Linked DNA regions of Schizosaccharomyces pombe. Changing the gene in region 1 together with any one later gene gives a genetic interaction. Each region holds a gene or a part of one and is shown on either strand. Other genes may lie near its edges.

Region 1 (4,184 bases):
TCCTTGAACATGTCAACCTTGTTGTTATTTTCAGCTTCTTTTTGATCAAACATTCCCAAGAAATGATCAATGATAGACGATATGCTAGGAAGCTGTTGAATTAGTCTTCTAAGCAATGCTGACTTAAAACAAGAGTATGAATTTTTCGAGAAAGCAGATGCGGCTTTATAAAAACCCTTCAAAACATGGAACATTTCAGACGGAGTGCACTACTGTAAGAAAATGAAACAGAAAAATAACTTACCCTTTGATAGTAGATTCTGGACAGACCCTTTTCGAGATCGGGCAATCTATACAGCATTTTACGAATTGCTTGAACTTGACTATTAGAATTAAAGGCTAATTCCTCAACCGCGTCCAGACGCTCGATTATATTTTCTTTATCAACCAAAGGCTTTTGAAGCCATCTCTGAAGCATCCTTTGTCCAAATCTTGTGTATGTGCGATCTAACACCCAAAATAGGCTACCAACAGGTGTATGATCTGTTTGATTAACGAAAAGCTCAAGACCTTCCAAAGCCTGTTTACTTAAAACCATAGAAGAAATGCTATCAAAAGGTTGATAAAAGTTTGAAGCAACGAATAGATCTTCCAATGAGAATTCCATCAAATAAGAAATGGCCATGTCCAAACAAATGATTGAAAGAGAATGTAAAGACTTCACCTTTTCCATGTGTAATTCTATAATTTTGCTACCGGACATGATGCATTTAGAAGAAAAGAAGTCCTGCAAATTCTCCAATGCTAGTTTCACGTCCTGCTGAACAGCATGTTGCACACGCACTACTCTACCGCAAGTTTTTTCAGTTGATACGTAATGATTCAGTAGGGCAACCGATTCGGAAGATAACTTGTTCGAATATATCAATTCACAAGGTTGAAAATGAGAAAGTCTTGTTTGTAATTCGCTTCTCAAAAAATCATCTTGAAAATGATCATAAACAGTAGTTCCAGATGATAATTGTATGGCAATTAGTCCAACCTGAACTCTTCCTGATTTTGCTTTGCTCTTATCAACATTATCTGCAACACATAGGATAAATTGGGAAGCTTGTAGTGTACCATGCTGTGTTTGCTCAAAGCGAAAAAAGCTATCATCTAGAGTAGTCCCCTTGGTAAGCACGCGAGCAACTCGTCTGTCAAACAGAGTGTTTCTGCTAGAGCTAGTTGACTTGAGAGCGGCTGTTTCAGTTTGTCGAACAACAGCAACTTTGAGACCAAAATTAATGAGTCTTTCCAAGTGATAGTCAATACGATACGAGGGAACACTAGCATTTAAAAAATTGTGCTCAAAATAGCAACTAATTCCTAACACCTCAGAGGCTATTTTTGCATCCTTCCCAAAAAATCGGAACTTATATCCTACTTCAATTGCCAAAATAGTTTCTTGATAATTTTTCTTCAATTCTAAGTATTGCTGCTCAAGTGGTGTGAAAACAGATTTCTGTTTAGTAGGTTTCGATGCTTTTCTTTGCACTAATTCTTTATTTGAAGTAGATTTAACCGTACGAATTCTCCTCTTTCGTTTTATGCTTATAAGAGGCGCGTTCTCATCAATCGAAGAACTTCCCTCATCTTCTTGATAGCTATTTTTTGAACTACCAACATTATTTTCTAGTAACTCTATGGCTGGACCACTGAGGGCAACCATATCTTCTGATATTGCTCCTTCATGTAAATTATCTGATAGAATATTAATAGCGTCGCATTCATGAGTAATGTTATAACTCATTCCTCTCATGTAATAAAGCGAAAATAAAAACTGTACAATCAAATTTGCTCAACATAGATTTGTAACGCATTTATAGTTTCTAAATGAATATAGGCGGACGTTTTAAAAAATACAACAAAACGGTAACAAGTAAGTATCGTTCTCCTCTAAATTACAGTAGATTCCATTTATGTTAAACTTAGCTTGTAGTTTTCATTATGGGCGGTTCCCACATATAAAACAAATTTTTGGTGGAGTGGCCACGCACCTTCTGCCAGTAGTGCATTGAAGCGGCAAAATGTCATTTTACGACGAAATCGAGTTAGAAGATTTCACGTTTGGTATGTATTTGTTAAAAGTTGAATACTTTTGCTAATTAAAAGACGCCGGTACGAACTTGTACACTTTTCCCTGTCCTTGTGGGGATCGCTTCGAGATATCTTTGGTATGTATTGATACGCAATTTCTTAATATTTTGGAAGTTTATACTAATTCATTATTTAGGAAGATCTTCAATTAGGGGAAGATGTTGCTCGTTGCCCAAGCTGCAGCTTGATTGTCCGGGTGATCTATGATGAAGATGAATTCATGGAAGTTGATAACGATGCTTCTACAGCACCTATAATCATTGCAGCATAATTTTTCCCTATAATTTCTTATTTGGTTTTTTACTTCTATTTATTCTCAAAATGTCTTGAAATTACGAAGGATAGGAGGGCTACTCTTTACATCGTGATATCCTCAAAATTTATTTGTTTAGTTTTCTCAGATCACTGGTTTTGTATTGGCATAGTACGTTTGTTGTTCATTCTATTAATAATTAAACTGTATCTTTTTAGTTGAATTTGTAAGTTTTTAACAACACTTTAGGCAAGTTTTTTGAGCGTACGACTTTTCCAAAGATTATTTTGCCCATATAATACAGTTTACTTATAAAATAATTTCTATTACCACTAGCTTCCGTAAGCATGCGCACCTCAACGGTAACTTTCTTTCTTCAAAATTAAAATGAACAACGCCTCTGCAAAACATTAAGGGAAGAATGGAAGAAAATTTAAAGAGAACTTCATTAGGAAATAACAATCTTTACTCGAAACTAAAAGCCCACCTTTAGCTATTTTTGTTAAGTGATAAATTATTGCATTTCTGCGTATGTTTTAACAACGCATAATTTTAAAACACTTTACGAAACGAGTTTAAGTTTATAAAATAGCTTTATAACTTATTCTTTCAAAAAAACGTTTTCATTATTACAAATAATGGATAAATGCTATTCAATTTATTCTTCGTTTCAAGATTGTGGAATTAAAATGAATTCGTACTTGTGCTCAACGTAAGTACGTATTGAAGTCCAAGTTGCGATCAATTCCACAGAATTTTGAAATTTCATTGCTAAAGCATTTGAAACTTATCAGTTGAACTAAAAGCCAGCTACTTAACAGTATTTCCATCAATTTACTTATAAAGCAATATCATTCCAGCTTTAGTGCGACATACCACAGTGGAATCTCAAATTTATTTAGAAGCTTAAAAGGGAATTTAAACATTACGCAAATGTAAGCTACGCAGTTTGGTATCTAATTTAAGGATACGTAGAACTGCGGTGAGTTTTCCTTGTGATCTATTATATTACAATACACAGGTTGTATAAGTAGCAACTGAGTATAGGTATTGTATTAACTGGGTTATAATGTTACCTATCACTAATATAGCTCATAACTGAACTGAGGAACGAGGTTCAGCAGTAGCTCTATTTATAGTATTCAGATAATATTGATCTTAATAGATTATCATTAAGATCAATCTCCATATCGTATCATACATGGTACGATATATAATTAGAACATGTGACATATAGTGATACTCAACGTAGTGTATCATAGCGTAGTGTAGTATTGCTGACAGCAAACTTAATTAACGAACTTTTTATAATATGTTATTGCATATAGCACGACGCTATCTCATATGCCAGAGCCAAAGAAACAGTCACATTTTCGTATATCTAACATGTGGCCTACAATACATTTTTACCACTGCCAAGATGCGTGATAAATGGAGGAAAAAACGCGTGCGTCGTCTCAAACGTAAAAGAAGAAAGATGAGAGCCAGATCGTAAGTCTAATATAACTGAAATTTTTTGTATTTTTTGCTAACTGAGAAATAGTAAATAGATAGGCTCATCCATTTGCGCCCTCACTAAGGAGCAATGAGTAAATTGCAATACCTTTGAAATAACTAGCTCAATTTGGCTTGCAAAGGACGCAGAACATTTACTCAAATAAAATTTCACTTTATCAACCAATTATATATATATATATTTATCATGCGTACAAGAGTAGTAATGTTTGTTTTGCAGCATGTTTATTTTGTTCTCGAATTATTAAATAGATACCCTAATGGTGTTATCTCGTCTGTAAGCATAAAGTATTTTAGTATGGGACTTAGTGGATAGTGTCATTTATGAACGGTTCGG
Region 2 (3,592 bases), 1.4 Mb from region 1:
GGTGAAACCAAAAATCCACCATTACAAATATGAGAGCATCGACCGGGATAGTTAGGCTTAATGTAGAAGGCACCGAGTAAGCTCGTTTTCCAGTCAATTGAAGCCGTAGCCAAATCTGGAGCAGGTGATGTCTCACTCTCAACAGGAACACAGATTACAGTACAAAATTTAAAAAAAAAGTCTTCCGCTTCATTGCGAGTCATTTTAATGTCGATTGGATAAGTCTGTCCCATCTCTATTTCATAGTTGATGAAATAAGTCAAGGTACTGAGTAATTCTTCTTTGTTCTTAACGTTTGTAGATTTATCAACGGCTATGCACCAAGCATTAAAATCAGTACATCTCCATGGAGGAATAGTATTTGGATCCTTCATGTTGGGATATGGATTATGAACAAAATTAAAGGGATTTTATAGCCATGTGGAGTAGATAATTTAAGCGACAAACACATAGATAAATTATCATCACTCAAACTCATCAAGATGCCATCTTGATATACAACAGGAAACAACTGTATGATATACAGAAATAATGTGATAAAATCATCAAGTCGAAGAGATAAATCAAATGATTAAAAATATGCAAGGAAGAAATCTGTTGCAAGTAATTCCTAGAGTACGGTAAAAAGCGTTATTTGTTAGAAGCAAATAATTAAGTATTTTAGAATATGAAAGCGAGACGAAGTAATAAAGCTCTCATTATTCATGTATTAGATGATTTTCGATTTTCTGTATGCTTGGTTAATGCTTGTACATATTCATGTCTGTGTATTTTCGGTTTGCGAAACATTAGATCGACTTCTACATCAAGCTAATGGAAACGGTTTAATATTTCGGTGCTATAGATTAAGTCTTTCTTCCTTGTTAACGAATGAAGAATCCGATATTAATTGTCTTTTCTTTATTCACTCATTGCAATTTCTCATATTCTTTTATTGTTTATTAAATAGTGAAGAATACATGTGAGATGATAATAAAAATAATGAAGTACAGTATAAAGTGAAGATGCGAAATTTTTAGGTTAGTGGTATTGGAAAATAATTAATTATACAAATTCCAAAAAAACACAATTCAATTAATATATTTATATTAAGTGCAGTACCTGAACCTCCTGTTTTAATAATAAAACGAATTAAAATGCAGTTACTTTGGAATTGACTATATTTTTGCTAGAGTTTTTTAATTATTTAAAATCTTTAAAATTTATTTTACCAATTTTACGTTCGCACAAGGATAAAATATTTACATTTCTAAAATAATTTAAAAATTTTCACTTTTAATCAAATGATTCATTTCCATCAACCAAATTAAAATTGTTCGCCTCATTTTTGGTTCTTTTAAATTCACCGATGCTTTTTCGTCTTTTGTATCCACGTCTCTCACAATTCATTTGCAAGTCAATTTTCTTTAGTATTGTTTCTTTTTTTTAAAATATTTTTCTTTTTATTTTCTCAATTGTGTCTGTCTTTCTTCGCAAGTCCACTAACCTTTATTTACATCAAAATCGGCCATGTATTAAATTTCACTAACTCTCGTTATTCTGTTTATCGATATAATTACAGCCTCCTTGTCGATGACATCATGCATCGAGCATTGATCATCCTATATAATCATCTCTTTGACCACTTCCGTCTATGGTCCATTGTAGCTTATACCATTGTAAAAGGGTAAAATCCTTTCATTCTACAGAGTTGTTAAAATTTGATTTTTAAATACTAAATTTTCTTAATTTATTCGGTTTTCACAGTGGATTCGCTTTTTCTGGGTCATTAAACAGTTAATTTGGTAGTTTGGTGAGACATCCTTGCAAATCAAGTGTTTGTATAACTTTTCAGAGAGTATAACATATCAACGTATTTATTGAAGTCGTTTGGGATCTCCTTTGTTAGTTAATTTTGGGTCAACGTGTGCGCTGTACATTTGACGTGTGTCGTGAGATTACAAAAAATTTTAGGGGTCGGTTTACTTACGAATTAATTCCCCCACGTGTGTGTTTTTAATCTTAGAAGACTAGCGCTTCTATAGAATTGACGTTTCTTGACGTCTTGTCATTCTTCTGTATTCCTTTAGAAACTGGCTATCTCCGTCTAATTTGCTTCCTCCTGATTTCGCGCGTGTGTCGTGCTAATTCTTTACTGCGTGTTGTATTCACCAAGTAGGAGTTTCCTTTAAATTAAAATATATCCTTTAGGGTATTTCTTTTTTCGTTCTTACTTTTTTTTTCATTTCAATTTCCCATCTCCCCCTTTGTTTCCTTTGTTATATTTTTGTTTGTGATCATCTGATTCCCCCTTTTCTATACATTGATTATTTAAGATGACTGCCAAAAAAAAAGAAGTTGATGATGAAAAGCGTCGCCGAATTCTGGAGCGCAATCGCATTGCCGCTTCTAAATTTCGCCAGAAAAAGAAAGAGTGGATTAAAGAATTAGAGCAAACTGCCAATGCTGCCTTTGAGCAATCCAAGCGTCTTCAGTTATTGCTGTCTCAGTTGCAACAGGAGGCTTTTCGGCTGAAAAGCCAATTACTTGCCCATCAGGGTTGTCAGTGTAGTGTAAAGATTCGTTCTGTCCTAACAGACTTTCAAACTGCTCACAATGCTCTCCACTCTCAACATATGGCTTACCGGCCGGTACAACCCCCTCCTGGTGATAACATGCTTGAATCTGTGGTTTCCGTTAGCCCTACTCAAATGCATCCATCATTGCAGGGTCTCCCTCCAAATCAACACCCTCAAATGCCCCCTTCTTCTCAGCAGCCTAATTCCGATGATGTCCAGCAACATATGTTCTCAGCAGCCGGGCTTCCTAGATCCCTTGGTGGGCCCATCTGAAAAAGAACATTTGTTTTCATTACCCCCCTTTACAATAAAGCAATTGATTTTAATGTGATGTTGCATGTAGATTTATGGCTCCTATTTTAGCCTAATGTTCTCTCCTAGATGACAGTCGGGCGTTTTTAAGTGTTGAATTACCGATGCATATGGAATTCTTTTCAAATTTCTGTCCTTATTATTTTTTTGCACAGACGTTTTCTTTGTTATGACCTTTATCTATTATTATTTCGAATTTCCTCGCCGGGTTTTCAAAATATTTGTCTTTATGAAATGTGAAAAGAAAATAACTTTACGATGCTTATAAACTTCTTTGAAGTATGACTTTGCGCTTGCTACATCTCCACTTACTTCTTCGATGTATTTGATTTGATTTCTTGAACTATTGCCAGATTGCCTATTCTCGTCAGTTACCTAAAACATAAAAAATGTTCTTCTTTCTAAATGTACAGATTTATAATTTCATTTGGCAAACTGAAAAAAAGATCTTAAGCTATTAATTTGGTTTTTTTTTTTAAAAAGCTCTGGTTGGAGCAACTGTGGTATGCTGTTGATTTTATTTGTAAACAGTAGAATGTCTCTTTTTTTCTTTCAGTTATTTATACCACAATCCGTGTATCATGATGCAAAAGAAGTGTCTGCGTTAAAGCATCACTTTCTTTAATTTCCCAACTGCATTCATTATGTAAATAAATAAATATTCACGTTATTACAATTTATCTCATTTATCCAATCTGTTCCATTTCTACTGCTCTCAACAG

Evidence for each region. Genes that interact genetically often act in the same process or in processes that back each other up.
Region 2: of dph3 (region 1) and pcr1, a mutation in one rescues a mutant of the other (synthetic rescue), as found in Schizosaccharomyces pombe (one study listed by BioGRID).

What each region holds. Positions count from the first base shown.
Region 1 is NC_003424.3:2,853,488-2,857,671, reverse strand, and holds dph3 (diphthamide biosynthesis protein Dph3), read left to right. Parts: upstream 1-1,977; 5' UTR 1,978-2,009; coding exon 2,010-2,052; intron 2,053-2,094; coding exon 2,095-2,156; intron 2,157-2,215; coding exon 2,216-2,350; 3' UTR 2,351-2,503; intron 2,504-2,581; 3' UTR 2,582-3,267; downstream 3,268-4,184. Other genes in the region: msh3 (DNA mismatch repair protein), read right to left, coding at 1-209, 245-1,741; rpl4102 (60S ribosomal protein eL41), read left to right, coding at 3,753-3,823, 3,876-3,882.
Region 2 is NC_003424.3:4,251,642-4,255,233, reverse strand, and holds pcr1 (DNA-binding transcription factor Pcr1), read left to right. Parts: upstream 1-1,633; 5' UTR 1,634-2,315; coding exon 2,316-2,831; 3' UTR 2,832-3,092; downstream 3,093-3,592. Other genes in the region: L-azetidine-2-carboxylic acid acetyltransferase Aca1, read right to left, coding at 1-374. UniProt on the Schizosaccharomyces pombe protein: Involved in regulation of gene expression for sexual development. Binds and activates CRE sites (cAMP-response elements, also known as M26 meiotic recombination hotspots).